Linked DNA regions of Danio rerio. The protein of the gene in region 1 binds, or shares a complex with, the protein of each later gene. Links are inferred from orthologs where the notes say so. Each region holds a gene or a part of one and is shown on either strand. Other genes may lie near its edges.

What was found. Proteins that work in one complex are often made in the same cells at the same time.
Region 2: ercc2 (region 1) and polr2l share a complex: the UniProt entries of both Homo sapiens proteins name them as parts of the TBP-based Pol II pre-initiation complex. The link is inferred for Danio rerio from reciprocal best matches to the Homo sapiens genes ERCC2 and POLR2L.
Region 3: ercc2 (region 1) and gtf2a1 share a complex: the UniProt entries of both Homo sapiens proteins name them as parts of the TBP-based Pol II pre-initiation complex. The link is inferred for Danio rerio from reciprocal best matches to the Homo sapiens genes ERCC2 and GTF2A1.

What each region holds. Positions count from the first base shown.
Region 1 is NC_133190.1:26,154,987-26,161,611, forward strand, and holds the start of ercc2 (general transcription and DNA repair factor IIH helicase subunit XPD), read right to left. Parts: upstream 4,175-6,625; 5' UTR 3,988-4,174; coding exon 3,983-3,987; intron 3,848-3,982; coding exon 3,748-3,847; intron 2,123-3,747; coding exon 2,045-2,122; intron 1,853-2,044; coding exon 1,790-1,852; intron 1,672-1,789; coding exon 1,558-1,671; intron 1,468-1,557; coding exon 1,351-1,467; intron 1,147-1,350; coding exon 1,030-1,146; intron 947-1,029; coding exon 823-946; intron 733-822; coding exon 636-732; intron 540-635; coding exon 406-539; intron 1-405. UniProt on the Homo sapiens protein: ATP-dependent 5'-3' DNA helicase. Component of the general transcription and DNA repair factor IIH (TFIIH) core complex, not absolutely essential for minimal transcription in vitro.
Region 2 is NC_133182.1:13,340,304-13,345,624, reverse strand, and holds the start of polr2l (DNA-directed RNA polymerases I, II, and III subunit RPABC5), read left to right. Parts: upstream 1-1,265; 5' UTR 1,266-1,339; intron 1,340-1,633; 5' UTR 1,634-1,650; coding exon 1,651-1,745; intron 1,746-5,321. UniProt on the Homo sapiens protein: DNA-dependent RNA polymerase catalyzes the transcription of DNA into RNA using the four ribonucleoside triphosphates as substrates.
Region 3 is NC_133195.1:17,672,199-17,677,403, reverse strand, and holds the start of gtf2a1 (transcription initiation factor IIA subunit 1), read left to right. Parts: upstream 1-1,149; 5' UTR 1,150-1,329; coding exon 1,330-1,359; intron 1,360-5,205. UniProt on the Homo sapiens protein: TFIIA is a component of the transcription machinery of RNA polymerase II and plays an important role in transcriptional activation. TFIIA in a complex with TBP mediates transcriptional activity.

The DNA.
Region 1 (6,625 bases):
TGCATGTTCTCCCTGCGTTTGCATGGGTTTCCTCCAGTTGCTCCAGTTTCCCCCACAGTCCAAAGACATGCGGTACAGGTGAATTGGGTAGCCTAAATTGTCCGTAATGTAGGAGTGTGAGTGAGTGCGTATGGATGTTTTCCAGAGATGGGTTGCAGCTGGAAGGGCAACCACTGCGTAAAACAAGTACTGGATAAGTTAGCGGTTCATTTCGCTGTGGCAACCCCAGATTAATAAAGGGACTAGGCCGAAAAGAAAAGGAATGAATTGGCTAATGCAGGACCACCTGTAATCAATCATAAGCAGGTGATCTCTGGAAATTAGTTTATAAATAAACTTCACTTAATTTATTATTTTTTTTTAAAGTCTATATGATTTGTAAGTTGTTAGATAACAAAATCTGACCTTGCAGGATTTCATCAGGCAGAACTGGATTGGACAGATAAATGTCAGTTTCTCTGGCAACATTAGCTTCTTTAAGACCCTCGACTAATCTTCTGTATTCTTCTCGAAGTTTGGCAGCATCTGTTTCTTTAATTCTTTAAAAGACAACAAGCAGAATGCAGGACATTAAACACATTAAAGGCATTAAGAAATGCAGAGGTTGCTTATTAATTCCCACTCTTTTGTCACACCTGCTAATGGTGTTTTGAAGGGTTTCCACATTGGTTTGGCAGCGATCCAGTGTCCTCCTGGTGATGTTGACGCTCATGGAATCAATACACACATTATCTAAAAGAAAACAATATGAGCTTAAATAACAATAATCTAGTCCACATGATGTATAAATCACAGTGATAAATATTGAAATGTGCTACTCACCAATGTTGTGAGCCTCATCGAACACGACAACTGATTTCTTTGCGAGCTCTTTCGAGACCAAGTCTGCGATTTTCGGATCTAGTAAGTAATGGTAGCTGTACACTACTATGTTTGCGTGAAGAAGCTGAATAAAGGAACATATGAGAGAGTGAAATAAATTACATGCACAGCAATTGCACATTATATTAACCTTAGCAAAGTACTCACTGCGTAACGTGCCAGGAAGTAAGGACACCAGCCTTTTCTACGCCCAAAGTCCTTCAGATCGTCCAAATTATATATACCAGGGGGAATGGGCACCTGTCTGCCTACATTATCAAATTCCTGCAAACAGGAACCAATTTCAAGCTATCATTATTTTTTTTTGTTTAAATGTGTTTATTATTATTATACTTTTTAAAAAACATTAAAATATAGAAAGAAACAGCAAAAATAGAAAGAAAAAATACACTTTACACTAGAAAAAAATAAAATAAAAAGTAAGAAAAACTGTGCCATGATTGTATATGCTTAGGAAATGTGTCCCACCTCATAAAACTGGCAGACAGGCTGATTTGGGTTACTCTGATGCTGCGCTCGAATATACGATGCTGTCAGACTGTGACATTTTCCATCTACTTCTTTTCCAAAACGCAGAGAGCTCACCTGTAGTCACACATTCAGTACTTTTTAATAAGATCACAGCACAGATTTTACTGAAATCACAGACAAATCTGCCCATTCAGCGGCCTCTACCTCAGGATGAATGCACAGGTTTTTCCTCGAGGAAAGTGCAAGGGCGAGGAAGTCGTTTTTTACTCCCGTTTGCTTTGAGTAATAATCCATCAGTTTCCTTAGCTCCTCCACAACCTGCAGGTAAATGAAAGATGCATAAAATAAAAATTAACATACGACATGTGTATTTAGAAAGCAAAAAAAAATGTATAAAAGGTAATAAACATCTATATCAAGTCAGTCAACAAAATACCTTCTCTATCTCAGGCACCGTGCGAGAGCAGTACACGAGCTTGGTGACTTCTAAAGGGTAAGTCTGTAAGAGATTAAACATTATATATATATATATATATATATATATATATATATATATATATATATATATATATATATATATATATATATATATATATATAATTATATATATAAATCAGGGATATTTTTAAAGCCATCAGACTGTCATTTAATAAAGTATTCAAATATTTAATCGTCGATCAAAATCCGTCACCTTCTGGTAAGCAACGATGAGCGAAAGAAGAGAAATAGTTTTTCCTGTTCCTGAGGGCATCTCCAGAACTCCATGACCCTTTACACACATAATAAAAACAAAATATGAAACAACTATACATAAGACAAACAATTTTTTTTTGTTTTTTATTGCTTTTTACTTTCACTCAGTCATGGCTCTGTTTAACATAAACATCCCATCCAACATCTCAGATAATGCGAGATTACAAAAAATGCATTCATAATCAGACTAAAAATGATGTGGTGAACTTTATTATTCCCACCAGGGGCAATTAAATTAGGGCAGTAGCATCATGATAACCTATAAATCCACACATTTGGTCTTTCTCCCTAATAATATACATTTCAGAAAAATATTCTTTGCAAATTCATATTTATAGGGAAACCATAATAGCATCCAATGACTTTTAAAGTACAACACTGTTCACTGTACAAAAAAGATTGTTTTGAAGTCATACTTACATAGGATTTTAGACCAAATATTCAAAGTACCATGGTAAAAAATAAAGGGAGGATGTCACGGAACGATTATGCGAATATAAAACCAACTTTACCTCAATAAAAATATTAGAGTAAAGCTGGTTTTATATTCACACATTCAGTCTTTCTCTCTAAAAATATTTTCAGAAAATTTTTCGGTCCCACTTTATATTAAGTGGCCTTTACTAACATGAACTTACACTGAAATTGAATCATTCGTTACACTTTACTTAATGAGTAAATATATGATTTTACATTGTACTTATGCTTGATTAAATATCTGCATGTAATTACATCTGTAATTAAATTCTGTAAGTACATTTATAATTACACTTTTTACCTGAACCAACTCTTAAACCAGCAAACCTTAAGACCACATTTCACTATACAAAAAAAGATTGCTAATGTTGTTTTGAAGTCATACTTACCTAGGATTGCAGACCAAATATTCAAAGTACCATGGTAAACAAAAAGGGAGCATGTCACTGAACAAATGTGTGAGTATAAAACCAACTTTATCTCAATTAAAACAGTAAAGTTGGTTTTATACCCACACATTCAGTCTTTTTCCCTAATATCATATTTTTAGAAAAATATTTTAGCAAACTCTAAATAGGGAAATCTTATTACCATGACTATCAAAGTACAACATTGTTCACTGCCTAAAAACATATAGCTAATGTTGTTTTGAAGTCATACTTTAATAGGATTTCACTCTGAATATTCAAATTACCATGGTAAACAATAAAGGGAGCATGTCACTGAACGAATGTGCTAATATAAAACCAACTTTACCTCAATTGTAAAAATAACGCTGTAAGAAGGAACAAAAAATACACTTTAAATTAGTTGTGTATCAACTATAGATGCATCTTTTGGCCTATGTCAAAACATCCAGCCACAATGTTAATATAGATCACTTCAATGTGGTGATATCTTTGGCCCATGAACATTTTCTGCTTGTTTCAAACTATTTCATAACTGTAACATGAGACAATTAAATCATAATTTAATGTTAAAACCGCTATCATGACATTATTTTACAATATATGGCTCTTTTTAAAATCTCAGAAAGTATGGACATTACAAATGGAAAACATGAAATACATTGAGACCATTGTTTTGGTTTACATCCCTGAAAATGGTCTATGTTGTTACATGATACAACATTAGTTTAATGTATGAGTGTCTGTGTATAAATACCTTTGCATCCAGCGTCCTCTTCAGCTCAAGCATATACGAGTATTGTTCGGGATAGATGTAGTCATACGGAAAGTAGACTAATAACCCGTCGATATTCAGCCTAATAGGATCAAATAGACATTAACGTTAGAGGAAAAACAAAACTTGTGTTAAATGAACAGCGGTTTGGGCCATTACCAGTCTGCAGATTTGCAGCAATGCTAACGTTAACAGTTAAAATTTACCGTTTACTTACTTCATGTTTGCTGGTATTGTTTCTCTGCAGCACTTAAGTGTTTCTCGTATTCAGTTTTGTATGTTTCCACACATTAATATAACTGTCATGAACGCATTACACAAAAAGACTTCTATCGAGGTACACAAGCGATCTCGGTAGCGTAAAACGCTGTCGCAGTGAAAGTGCGTAATCTATTTTGCTTAATTGATTGGTTGTTCGCTTCAAAGCCCGCCTTATCCTGTCAGCTCATTGGATGACACGCACGTCATGTCAATCCCTTGACGGAAGTACATTTGTCACCATTGGGGTTAATCAAAAAATATATATATAGAAAAGAAGTCCGCACTAAACTTTCGCTAAAATTGTGTAGGTTGTAATTTTCTTCACTACAAATATGACTGATTTTTTAAAACAAACAACAGTATTTTTTTCATGAAAAGTAAAATTTGATCAATTAAAAATATAGCCTATCACAGATTACACTAAATTATACTGTATTTTAAATAAACAAAGAAAAAAGAATGAAAAAAGCTAAGAAAAACGAAAAGCAGGTACAATTAGAGTGCATTGTAAACAAACAAGAAAAAAATAAAAACAAACAGAAAAGAGAAAAGCAAGTAGAGTACACTTAACTTACATTCATTCATTTTCCTTCAGCTTAGTCCCTTTATTCATCAGAGGTTGCTAAAGCGGAATGAATTAAAGATCTGAACTTCCCATCACTACTGTGTGTCTAACCTTAGAGGCAGCCATGCACACGATTTTACTTAAGGCTATCTTGTGGGCTGTTGTATTTGAATTTGAAGATGAGTAGGTGGTAGTGGTAGATGATAGTGGTCATGTGTCCTGTGAAAACATGTTTCAAAAAATTATTGTTGAGTTTTTATTTTACAATATTTATTGTATTTTGTACAATATTTATTGATTTTGAATCTTGTACATAGCAAATATCCCAATGTGCAAAAATAAATAAATAAATAAACAAAACTAAGCAACTATAAAATATGGAAACTAATAAAAACTAGTAAATCTACCTCTAAAAACTAATTAAAACTGATTTTGAAAACAAAAAGTCAAAACAAAATAAAAACTAAAACCAATAAAAAATCCAAAACTATAATAACCTTGCTGTGGAGGAAACCCACGCGAACAAGAGAAGAACATGCAAATTCCACACAGAAATGCCAACTGACCCAGCTGTGCTTCGAACCAGCGACCTTCTTGCTGTGAGGCGACAATGCTAACCACTGAGCCACTACTACTAAGCCCCCCTTCTAAAATGACATTTTTTAATACATATGAGGGGAAAAAAGAGAAAGAACCAAAGAAATGAGAACATTTTTCATTATTAATACAGGGGCATATTTTATATAATATATTTTATTTACATAAACATTTTTAAATCATATATTACAATGCAATAAAATATACAGTATTTCACCCTAACAAAGATTCATCTTCATGAAGTGATTTCCTTCGTACTCATAGGCCGGGTAAAGACCACAGTTTAGACATATTAAAATATTTGTATAAATCCATTTTGGGTCATTCTTTGACAATATTCACCTCAACAGAATAAAACTATACTTTCTAAACCTTTATGACAAACTTCCTGATATAACTACAGAGCCAAAATCCCAATTCCCTTCCCTGTAAAACGCAGCTTAATAAGTAACATCAAATATAAAAACAAACAAATTTTAATGCTCGATTATTTAACATATCCAATTGGGTCAAAATGACCAAAGCATCACATCACTGCTTTTGTGATGCCATCCACAGTTATAGCGTTAGCGTTCATCATGCTGTTCATTACTGTCATGACCTCTTCACCTTATGCAGATGAACTGATCACTGTATTTTTACAATGACAGAGTTGAAGTTATAAAGTTTATTGCCTGTTTTAGATGATTGCATCTAGGATCTGAATCAGCACTTTCAAGTCCGAGGCCATGGTGCTCCACCAGAAAAAGTTGTTTTGCCATCTTCAGGTTGGAGGAAAGTCTTTACCCCAGGTAGAGGAGCTCAAGCATCTTGGGGTTTTGTTCACGAGTGAGGGAAGGATGGAGCATGAGAGAGGCGGATTGGTGCAGCGGCAGCAGTAATGCGGTCAATGTACTTGTCCGTTGTGGTAAAGAAGTAGCTAAGTCGAAAGGCAAAGCTCTCGATTTACCGGTCAATCTACAATCCTACTCTTACCTATGGTCATGAGCTTTGGGTCCTGACCGAAAGGACAAGATCTCGGATACAAGTTACCAAAATGAGTTTCCTTCGCAGGGTTGCAGGGTTCACCCTTATAGATAGGGTGAGGAGCTCTGTCAACCAGGAGGAGCTCGGAGTAGAACCACTGCTCCTCCACATCGAGAGAAGTCAGCTGAGGTGGCTTGGGCATCTGTTTCGGATGCCTCCTGGACACCTACCTAGGGAGGTGTTCCAGACATGTCCCACCGGGAGGAGGCCTTGAGGAAGACCTAGGACACGCTGGAGGGACTGTGTCTCTTGGCTGGCCTGGGAACGCCTCGGGATCCCCACGGAGGAGCTGGAGGAAGTGTCTGGGGAGAGGGAAGACCTTAAGGCTGCTGCCCCCGCGACCCAGAAAAGCAGTTGAAAATGAATAAATGAATGAATGAATGAAGAAAATTGCATGTGGATAAAAATACT
Region 2 (5,321 bases), on another chromosome or scaffold:
AAATCCAGGCATAACACTATGACAGGTATGACAACGCTTCAGATGACTGTTAGCCAACAGTTAATCAATCTGTCAGATTCTGGAGTGCATTACAGCTATAATGAATATAATAAATGAACTTAAAAAAACAAATACATTTATAGAGATGGGATATAAATATATAATTTTACTCACCTGGGAAATTAAGGCCACTTTAACAGTTTGTGAGCACAATTAAGTGCACACAGCATGCCATACTATCTGATAATTGTAGGAAATAATTCCAAAAGACAAATGACTGTGTAAAGCCAAAAAAAAACAATAATAAAAATACAATGTATATGCCAAGTTCAGCAGCTAATCAGTCGGAATCAGCTGAGGTGAAGTGACGTGACCAGCAAAAGACACTCAAGTGGCCACTCCCTTAATTATGCAGACTTAATTAAACCTAATAAATGCTAAACGGATGAGTAATAAAAAAATTCAGCCCCTCACAGTTGTCATGAAGAGTAGTATTAGCTATAAGCACCAAAACCATCTATTGTACCAGGCTTTAAACATGTTTTTATCAGCTGTAAAATTGGCCAGTTTAGCATTGCAGTCAGAGAACATGTGGAGTTGCTGGAGCAAGCCCCCAGAGGAGAGTCTATGTATTTTGTATTGGCTTCCCAATGGAGAGCCGGAGGTTGCTGCTTGGTTTTTACAGCGTACATAAGACGCCCTTATTCTGAAGTGTTGTAAAAGCTAAAATATAAGATGGTTTTGGGATATACATAATAATCATATTGCTATTAGCATTATATGTGCATAATATGTGTTATACATGTAGAGCTTTGCATGGTCAAGCACCCCAATATATTCAAGATCTATGGAACTCTCTCCCTATAGCACTGAGAACTCTGGGATCAGTTGATCTTTTTAAAAAGCATTTAAAGACGCATTGTTTTGGTCAAGCATTTAATTCATAGTATTAGTGTTTCTGTATTTGGATTTTTTACTTGTTTTAATGTGTTTTAACATGTTTTCTTTTATTGATATGTGTTCTTTTACTTGTTTTCTCTAATTGTAAAGCTATTTGTTACTCAACGTCTAGGAAAGGTGCTACATAAATAAATATTTTCTTGCTTACTTACTTTTACTTTTTAAAGATTATACCTCACACATTTTGAAGGAGTTTTCTCAACACCAGCCCGCCACTAAAACAAAAGAAGAAGAAAGTTTTCGTATGTTGCTCATTTCGCTTCACGGAACGTTTCCTATAACCTTGTTTTCACCCGAGCGTGTTAGAAAGACGCAACACGGAAGTCTATCTGTTATAAGCCGCGCAAGAGGAACGTGTGTAGCGTGCGAGATTGTTTTGGTAATGTTTTCTAATTTGCTCGCTTCTTTAGTCAAAATGAGAGGGTGTAATATTTGGGGTTTAGTTTTGAGTTCGCATATAAGGAAATAATCTCGAGCTGAACCGCACTGTCACGTATTCAGTGTTACTGTATGTTGCTGTAGACTGCTTCAGTGTTACATTCTTGTGTACATTTATAGCTCAACATCTATTAAGTTACTGAGTTTTGTGTTACTTGTATTCGTTATTACGCAGTCTGAATTGCACAAACTTGTGTGTTATTAAATAAACCTCTACATTTTTTTTTCAATTCAGGCAACTCGTCCTTCATCATGATCATCCCTGTTCGCTGCTTCACTTGTGGGAAAATTGTTGGGAACAAATGGGAGGCGTATTTGGGTCTCCTTCAAGCGGAGTATACAGAAGGGTACGTTTATGAAACTAAAATGTGTCCTAAATTCGTTTGTTTATTTATTTATTTATTTGTTTGTTTGGCTAAGGAGTAAAGCACTCCTTACTAGTCCTCTTTACTAACTTTAGTCAAAATATTGTGTTTGGGGTGCTCATGCGGACCGGTTGACTGGCAGCACGAATTTTGCCAGATTAATATGATTAATGTTATTATACAGATTACTATTATTATTAACAAAATAAAGCCAGCATTGGCCTTACATACAAGCATCAAACCAAACTGAATTTAAACAGATTTATTAAAAACCTGAAAAACGACTCTAAGTTAAAGATTAATTGTGATTAGCCACATCCAAAATAAAAGTTTGTTTTGACATAAGCAATACTTGTGCATTATATATATTTATATAATTATTGTGTATGTGAAATACACTCATGCATAAAGGTATAGATTTTGCATAGATATTTAAAATTTATTATTTGCATCATATATATTTTATATGTAAATATAAATAATTATTTCCTTAAATGTATGCATCTTTATGTTTATATGTCCATAATAAGCATACACAATACACACACGTATTATGTAAAAAAAAAAAAAACATTTTTTTATGCGATTAATCACGATTAATTTTCCCCCAGCACTATGTGAAATACATCTTATAATTGAAAAACACCTGCAGCTAAAACAAACATTTTTAAGGAAATCTTTTATACATCAGCTATGACTATATTGAACAAATGACCATGAAGTAGTTTATATGTTGTTCTGTGACACTGTGAATCTGTTTGTGGTTTTAGAAACAGGGTTGTGTGTTGGTAATCCATGGTGTAGGAAGCCATATGATGTTTAGTAACATTTTGTGAGGCCAAATATGAATTTCCACATGTGTGGACAATAAAGACTGCTCATCTTTCTAATTAGAATTCTAATCTTTGGTCATACAGGCACATAGAAAAGCACCTTGTTATTTAAGTAATTCCCACAGCACTAAATTTCATTTAAAAAAAAAGTGCTGCTAGTTAATTATTATGGCTCAGATCATTATTTTGTCTGATTTTTTTCTTTTGTGGCAAGTTGCCATGTTATAAGTAAGATAATGTACTTACAATTGGCTATGCAAAAAAGCCATTCAGTCTTATAGGGCCATGAAACCTCCTTGTTTCAGAGGGTGTTTTCACACCTCTACTTTGGAAAAAGTCAGGAAAGTGGGCGTGTCCAGCTCTGTTTAGGAGGGAGTGTCGGAGGAGCAAATTAAAGAGGGTTCTGTAAAAATTTGCATAAAAATGGGAGTGTCATTTTGGGCACGTGCTGATTTTCAGAGTCAAAACACACACACACACACACACACAGGGGAGAAAGACTGACTGTGTTTACGTGGACATCAGTAATCAAATTATTTGACAAATTATTAAATGGTGGACATTAACTGCAGTTTGGCTCTTTTATTCAGGGAATATCTTCATGCCCCTCGTGACAAACGAGGTATTTGATTTGAGGAACTGCTCTAAGCTTGTATCTTTCATGCAATGTTTGATACGGCACAGCAAATGAGGGAAAAAAAACCTCTGAATTTCTCAATAACTTAGATGCACTCGGCAGGTAGGGTCAGAAAGTCGTGTGTGTTACTCCTGTCACAAAATGCAGTGAAAATCCTACACGATGGTAAGTTTGATTGTGGTGCTAACATGTTCACACTCCGTGTAACAGTTAGTTCGATACAAACTAACTTTGCCATCTGAAAAAGCAAAGGGCACTGTTCGCTCCCTTATCAAATCTGTAGAGACAGGACAAACAACACCAACTAGAGCCGCGTCTTTATTAAGAGGAGACGAGCGGCAAATCCGGATCTCACCATTTCCAGATGAGAAAAGTTCTCGGGTAAAAAAAAAAAAAAGTTCCTTAGACATGCATTGTTGTCGCATGCACTGTAATCCACACGTGGTCCAGCTGTGCGCTCATACAGAGAAAATGAAAACAAAACCTTCACTGCAGCAAATTATAAAAGCAACCCTTCACGCTTGTTTTGCCAACATAATGTGGCGTCTCTGCTGTCTGAACACTGTAACATTAATGAATGTTAGTGAAGTTGCACAATAGAGTGCGCTGATTGGTTTGAACCGAATCTTACTCGTGCATTAATGCAGCACACTTATAGACGTAATAAGACACTCCCAGGTACAGACGTCCAGTCTACACGCTGGAATACACGCTAAGATCTCATGGCCGTGACGCAGCTTAAAAAAATTGTTACAAACCGGAAGTACGAATTAGCTAGAAATAACGCAAAAACAACCAATTTTCACTTTTTAGTGAGATATATGTGTCTTAATAGTGTTTTTAGCAGTGTGGGACACTTATATGACTGTCAACAGCTCAAAAAATGTGTTTTGGTGTTTTGTGACCCTTTAAAAAATAGATTTTGTTTTTCATGAACAACTGGCTAGATGCATATTATCCTTTAAACCTTGTGCTGCAGGAGATGTTTTCATCTGCTTTGGGTGATTTTAAAGCTTAATTACGCCCCAACTTTCTCTGTTTCAGCAAATTGAATTATTTTTGGAGACAAATCTTATTTTGACACGCATTTTGGGAAAATGCTTTGAAAAGTTTTAAGACGTTTAACAATTACACTCTGGGCAAATTGACTACCCTTTCATTATGTTGCTGGCTGTTTTTACCCAATTTACTTCCATTGTAATGACATTTTTATGATTGCAAATTCATGACACCATATAATCATGCATTCTTGATTGTTGGAGGTTTTCCCTATTGGGAAGAGATAATTTTTGCCGATGATCATCAGTTGGCAGCATTAACCCTTTAGATAGGCTTGTGCAACAGAAGTTTCTGGCTTTTATATGGAATTCTGTGGAGAAAAACAACTAATTATAAAAGTGCATGCATAAATACACTTACTATGTTAACTATGCTCTGAGAGCTGATCAGCTGGTTTTGATTTTCTCCGATATATCAAGATAAGTGTGCAAAGGTCTCTCTCTTACACACACCATATACTCCATATAAAAACCAGGAACTAAGAATGTTTGCTCTGCAACCTGTTGATCAATTGTAAAAATTGATTCCTGCATCCTAACAGGGAAACCAGCTATATTTAAGAGTGCATGATTATATGGTTTCATGGCTTTGCAATCAAAAAATGTCATTATAATGAAAGTCGATGGGGAAAAAACAGCCTCAAACATAACGAAAGTGTAGTCAATTTGCCCAGAGTGTAATTGTTGAATTTTTGAAAATTTTCACAGCATTTTCCCAAAATATGAGAAAATAAGATTGTCCCCAAAAATCTTAACATTTTCTGAAACGGAGAAAGTTGTGGCCAAATTTAGGGTGTACTCACATTAGGTACTGTACAGTTGCCTTGAACCATGCCGAAGCGCGATTGTCCCATCGTACTGCACTCACATTGCATTTTTTAGCTACCGAACCTGAGCATGCATGCGTCATCGATGATGTGACTGTTCAGTTTAACAGAAAAAAGCTCAGCACTGGGGAGATTGCTTTAGTTATATCGTTTGAGTGTCACGCAGTCCAACATTTCCACGAGAAGATCAGCCACTTTTGACG
Region 3 (5,205 bases), on another chromosome or scaffold:
ATTTTTTTCTGGAGAAAGTTTTGTTTGTTTTATTTTGGCTAGAATAAAAACGTTTTTTAATTTTTTAAAATCAATTTTAAGGTCAAAATTATTAGCACCTTTAAGCTATATGTTTTGATAGTTTACAGAACAAACCATCATTATACAATATCTTGGCTATACTCTAACCTGCCTACCCAGTTAGCCAAGTTAAGCCTTGAAATGTCACTTTAAGCTACTTTTAGGCAAACCTGTCACCGTTTATTTAATATCACAAATGTCAATAAACTTAATATTCCTCAAAACACTGAAAACATAATAACAGTTTGATTGTTAAATTAGATGTAGTTGAATGAAATATATGAATTGGGTTCACTAAGGCATATTACTGAACATAACTACAAAATCTTGACCAACCCCCACCCCCGTCAATGTATAATTTGCACCCTGCCCGTAGGCTATACAGAAGACTGAAAGTTTATAACAACATGTTCGTTACTTTTTTACTTTTTTCCTTATTAAAAAGTAATAATATATATAATAATATAAGGCTCTGCCTTAATTCTTCGTTTATCTCTGTTCCTCTCATTGTGTGCGGGATTTAATGTTGTCAGCAAATTTTTTTAAAGTTAATTAACTTAATTTAAAAAAGTAACTCACATTCCATTTTTTAAAAAAGTAACTCAGATATTGTTACTTAATTTTGAAAAGTAATGCGTTACTTTACTCGTTACTTAGAGAAGTAATATTATTATTTAACTCGCGTTACTTGTAATGCGTTACCCGCAACAATGCATGTAAAGCATATTAAAAGATTTTACTGAATGCACGATAGTATTTTCTCTCAGAAACATTGTAATGAGGGAGAAATAAGGCTGTTACACTTTTACATTGATTAAAACATAATTTCGTCTTAAATCTGGTCTCATAAAAAATTATCAAGCTTAATAATCAACAACTGCAAATAGCGTAACATTAAGTTAGTTTCTTATGCAGGAAAAAACCTCTTGTCTGTTTTGGTCGCGCCTCCGCAGCGAATGATCTAGGATCAGCTGACTGCACGGTAAGAGCTCTCGTCGAGATCTCGCGATGTTTCGCTCAATGCCCGCTTGACCCTGCCCTGTGTCTCGCGCAGCTCCGTATATAAAGGCGGAGGACTGGAGAAGACGGACGGCTGGGGAGCTGCAGCCCTGGGACTGTGAATAAGACCGTAAAGAGCTGTGTTTTTATTTCCCGAAACTTTAACCGTCAACTTTTTAAACGTTTTAGATGTTTCCGTGCTTTTTTTAATGCTTCTGGGGCTCCTTGCTTGATATTCGCGGTGTGTTTTTCCCCCTCACTGCGCTCATAATGGCGAGCTCGGCTAACTCGAACCAAGTGGTAAGGATCAGACAAACGGCACTCATTCTCGAAATCACACACGTGTCCAAGCATTGTAGATATATATATATATAGAGAGAGATACGCAGAACATTTTAACCAAACCCACATGTTTATTTCAACAATAAAGCGTTTAGACACACGTACACCTATCAGGTCTGCTCCAGTCGAGGGCTTTGTAGGGAAGTGTGTGAGTGTTTGCTGATTATATAGAGAAAGAAAACAACACAGTGGCTTGAATCCACAGCTTTAAGTATTACGTGCTAGAAATTGCATTTCTGTTGAGCTAACACGGACTTGCTGCTTTGTTGCCGTGTTTGACCATTCAGTCATCCGAGTATACGTCGATATTAGTTTGTTACTAAAGCACCCTTTGATCCCGACAAATGCATCTGAAATTGAGCCAAAACGGCTCGTTTTTGTATGTATATCAGGATATAAGTTTTGTCCTGCGTGTTAAAAACCTTCCTACATAATTTGAATCTTAATATTCATCCCCCCAAAAAATATATAAAACTGAATCCCTTGGTTATAAACCCTCATACGAGACGTTTTTCACGTTCACGGAAGCCTCCGCAGTGCAGGCGATGCTGTTTCATCATGGCTACCGTTGCCTCTGACCCTCCTTCTTTCCGTCGCTGGTTTTATACAGCCATAGCGACGCTCTAATATAGACTGCCCGGGATGGGAAGGTGCTTCTCGGCGCTACGTCACGGGCTGTGCATATAAACGCCAGACTGTGCTTTAAATAGTGAGCGGACCGGCCGCGCGGTACGGACAAGACGTGATGCGGGGAGCTGCTCTTCGCTTTTAGCGATACAACATTAACGATGGTGTTTATTAGACACAGAAGGACCTTTTTTACTCATATCGCGTCGACAGCTGCCGGAAGCGCATGCGTTTCAGGGTTGTTTTTCGGTTTCGTCGCACGCGTTTATCAGAGTTTTAAAGGGTGCTGCTATTTCTGTGCTCTCAAAACGGATGATTCGCGTTCCGACAGTCAGCAACCGCATTGGACATGTTAAAGAAGCCCATGTGTGTATTTATAGGGCTTCCAGCAGTCCAAATGCTGAACGGGACGTCGGACTCGTGTCCGCGGATGTCATTTGAACGATTCATTACAAAGAATCGCTACAAAAACACATCGGTGTTTTTGTTACGTAGTTACGTCATGCATTGTGTTGTTTGAATCCCTGACGTGCTTTAATTAGTACACTACTGTAACAAACTGTACAATAAAGACAAGTGTAGAATATATTTGTTTATTACCCCCTTTTTTGTATTTGTCAACCACCAAAAGTCTTTAGGCACACATTTGAGTAATAATGTATAGATACAAGTCGATATAGCTGTGTATATACACGGATATATAATTGCCTATATGGGGAAAAATGACTGAAGTTCGTATTTCTAAGTTTGCCTGGACTTCATTTTTAGTGATGTTTGAGTAATTTTATTCTTCTTCAGAAATGTCTTGACTTTTTAAAAAAGCAAAATAACAAAAGTATACCAGAGCAATTCCATGCAATGTCAACCTTGCCATGAAAAATGAAGCTACAACCAAAATAGGGAAACTGTTTCTACATTTTTGGTGTAAGCAAGAATATTACAGTACTAAAAAATAAAAAAAAATGTTTGTCTTTGTTTTCAAGGAGTTATTTGATTAAGCGCAGTTACACAAGTGCCAATTTCACATCTGTCCTATCCATAACGGAGATGTCACATCCATAATGAAGCTTTCCCTCATAAATGCTAAAACGTCGATTAAAATAAAATCAATCATGTTTATTCTATAGTGGGCCAGCTCTTATCCTTTTGATTACCATTATTTCTCTTGGGTTGTGCAGTTTAATTGACAGAATTTCTACAAAGTATGTTTGTACTGTAAACTCGCTAACTTTTTTTGGTCACATCCATAACACGTTTATTTTTCTCATTTAAAATATATACAATGTATACAGATAGATATTTTATCTGATCCAATAACTCTGTTTGGTAGTTTTGAAAAATATAAACAAATGTTATTAAATGTTAACATATACTTTCTTAATAAATTAAAGTTTTGGGTTTTTGCTGCTAATGTCACATCCATAATGCTGGAATTGATCGCCATTCTGTCAGATTCTTAATTTTATATCTTCTATTAATCATCTAAAAGCAACTTTACACATAGATTTTCAATTTTTATTAAAGGAAATCCTAAATTGTTTCAATATTTTGAACAGTTGTCCATTTTGGCTAAATAAATGTCTTAATGATGATAATGACATTTAAATGTTCATACATTTGAACCAAGTGTAAGGATGTAATTTCATTGTTTTTTTTAGCATTCCTCAAGCTGCCAAAGATCATTGTAAAATGCTACTTTTATGCTGAAATACTTATAATAAATGAATGAAGTAATGCTTAACATTCATAGGAACCATCATAAAGCAGTTCCAGCATTCTGGATGTGGCATTTGCAGTAGAAACATATAAATTCACATATGTTAACATTATATTGAAACATCTGTTTATATTTTTCAACAACTAACCACAGAGTTATAGTATGAGGAAAATATTAATCTGTGAAAATGTTTTGAGGAAAATAAACGTGCATTATGCATGTGACCAAAAAAGTTAGTGAGTTTACAGTATAAAACATACTATGTAGAAATTATGTGAATTAAATTGCACAACCCAAAAGAAACAATGCTTATCAAAAGGATAAGAGGTGGCTCTCTGTAGAACAAGCAAGATTGACTTTATTTTATTAAATAGTTTTGCATTCATGAGGGAAAAGCTTGGTTATGGATGTCTCATATATGAAATTACCACTCATGTGACTTTGTTAAATCAAATATAATTGTTTTAAAAACATCAACGACATTTGAGCATTTCTAAAGTACTCTAAAATACTTACTTAATGCTTACACAAAAAAATGTAGAAACAGTTTCAGTGTTTTGGTAAAAATTGCTCCAATTAATAATTGAGCTGATCATGAATAATCATAAAAGAACAGCAAATTGTCAAAATAGAGTGATTGATTTCTAATGTTTCATGTGACACTGGAGTAATGATGCTGGAAATTCAGTTTTGCATCACAGACAGGAATAAAGTGCATTTATAAATAACATTTAAATGTTTTTGTTTTTAATATCTCACAATAGTTGTTACATAATATATATAACACAACATTGTTATAATTTGATACAACCTTCATGGAAGTATTCACATTGTTTATAAATATGCATGTACTTGCTAATGGATATTTAGGAGTCAGAAATGTCAGAAATATGAACAAATCTATCATATTCTGATATACGGTATTTAGGGTTTCTGCAGGGCCTTAAAATGCCTCTCAAAATCCAAATTTTAGGCCTTAACAGTCTTGAATTTAGTGAAATATTTTGTTGTAGGTCTTAAATCTTTTAAACGGGTCTTAATTTTCCTTTGTTCATGTATACCTACCCAGTCTGGCCAAAACCCATACAATCACCAACAATCCATCTCAATAAAACTATAAACTTTGTATATAAAAAGGTCATTTTTAACTCTATCTTAACGATTTAAATATTTTCCTTACAATAACATTTGTTTAAAGGTTCTTCATCTATTTACTGCCGAGGACACCGACAGATTGTTGTCCATAGATTTAGTGTATTTTTTAATTTAAAGAAGGTTTATGTTGGGGAAAAATACAAGAGATTGTTTGTTTTTACACAATATTTAAAATATTTAGCTTAGAAAAAAAATAATACATTTGAATAGTTCATTATTGTGTTATTAAATGTACTGAATTATAGTTTTTTTTTTTTTTGAGAGGTCAAATAAAAAAACTTTTCCATCTGGGCCATTTAAAAATT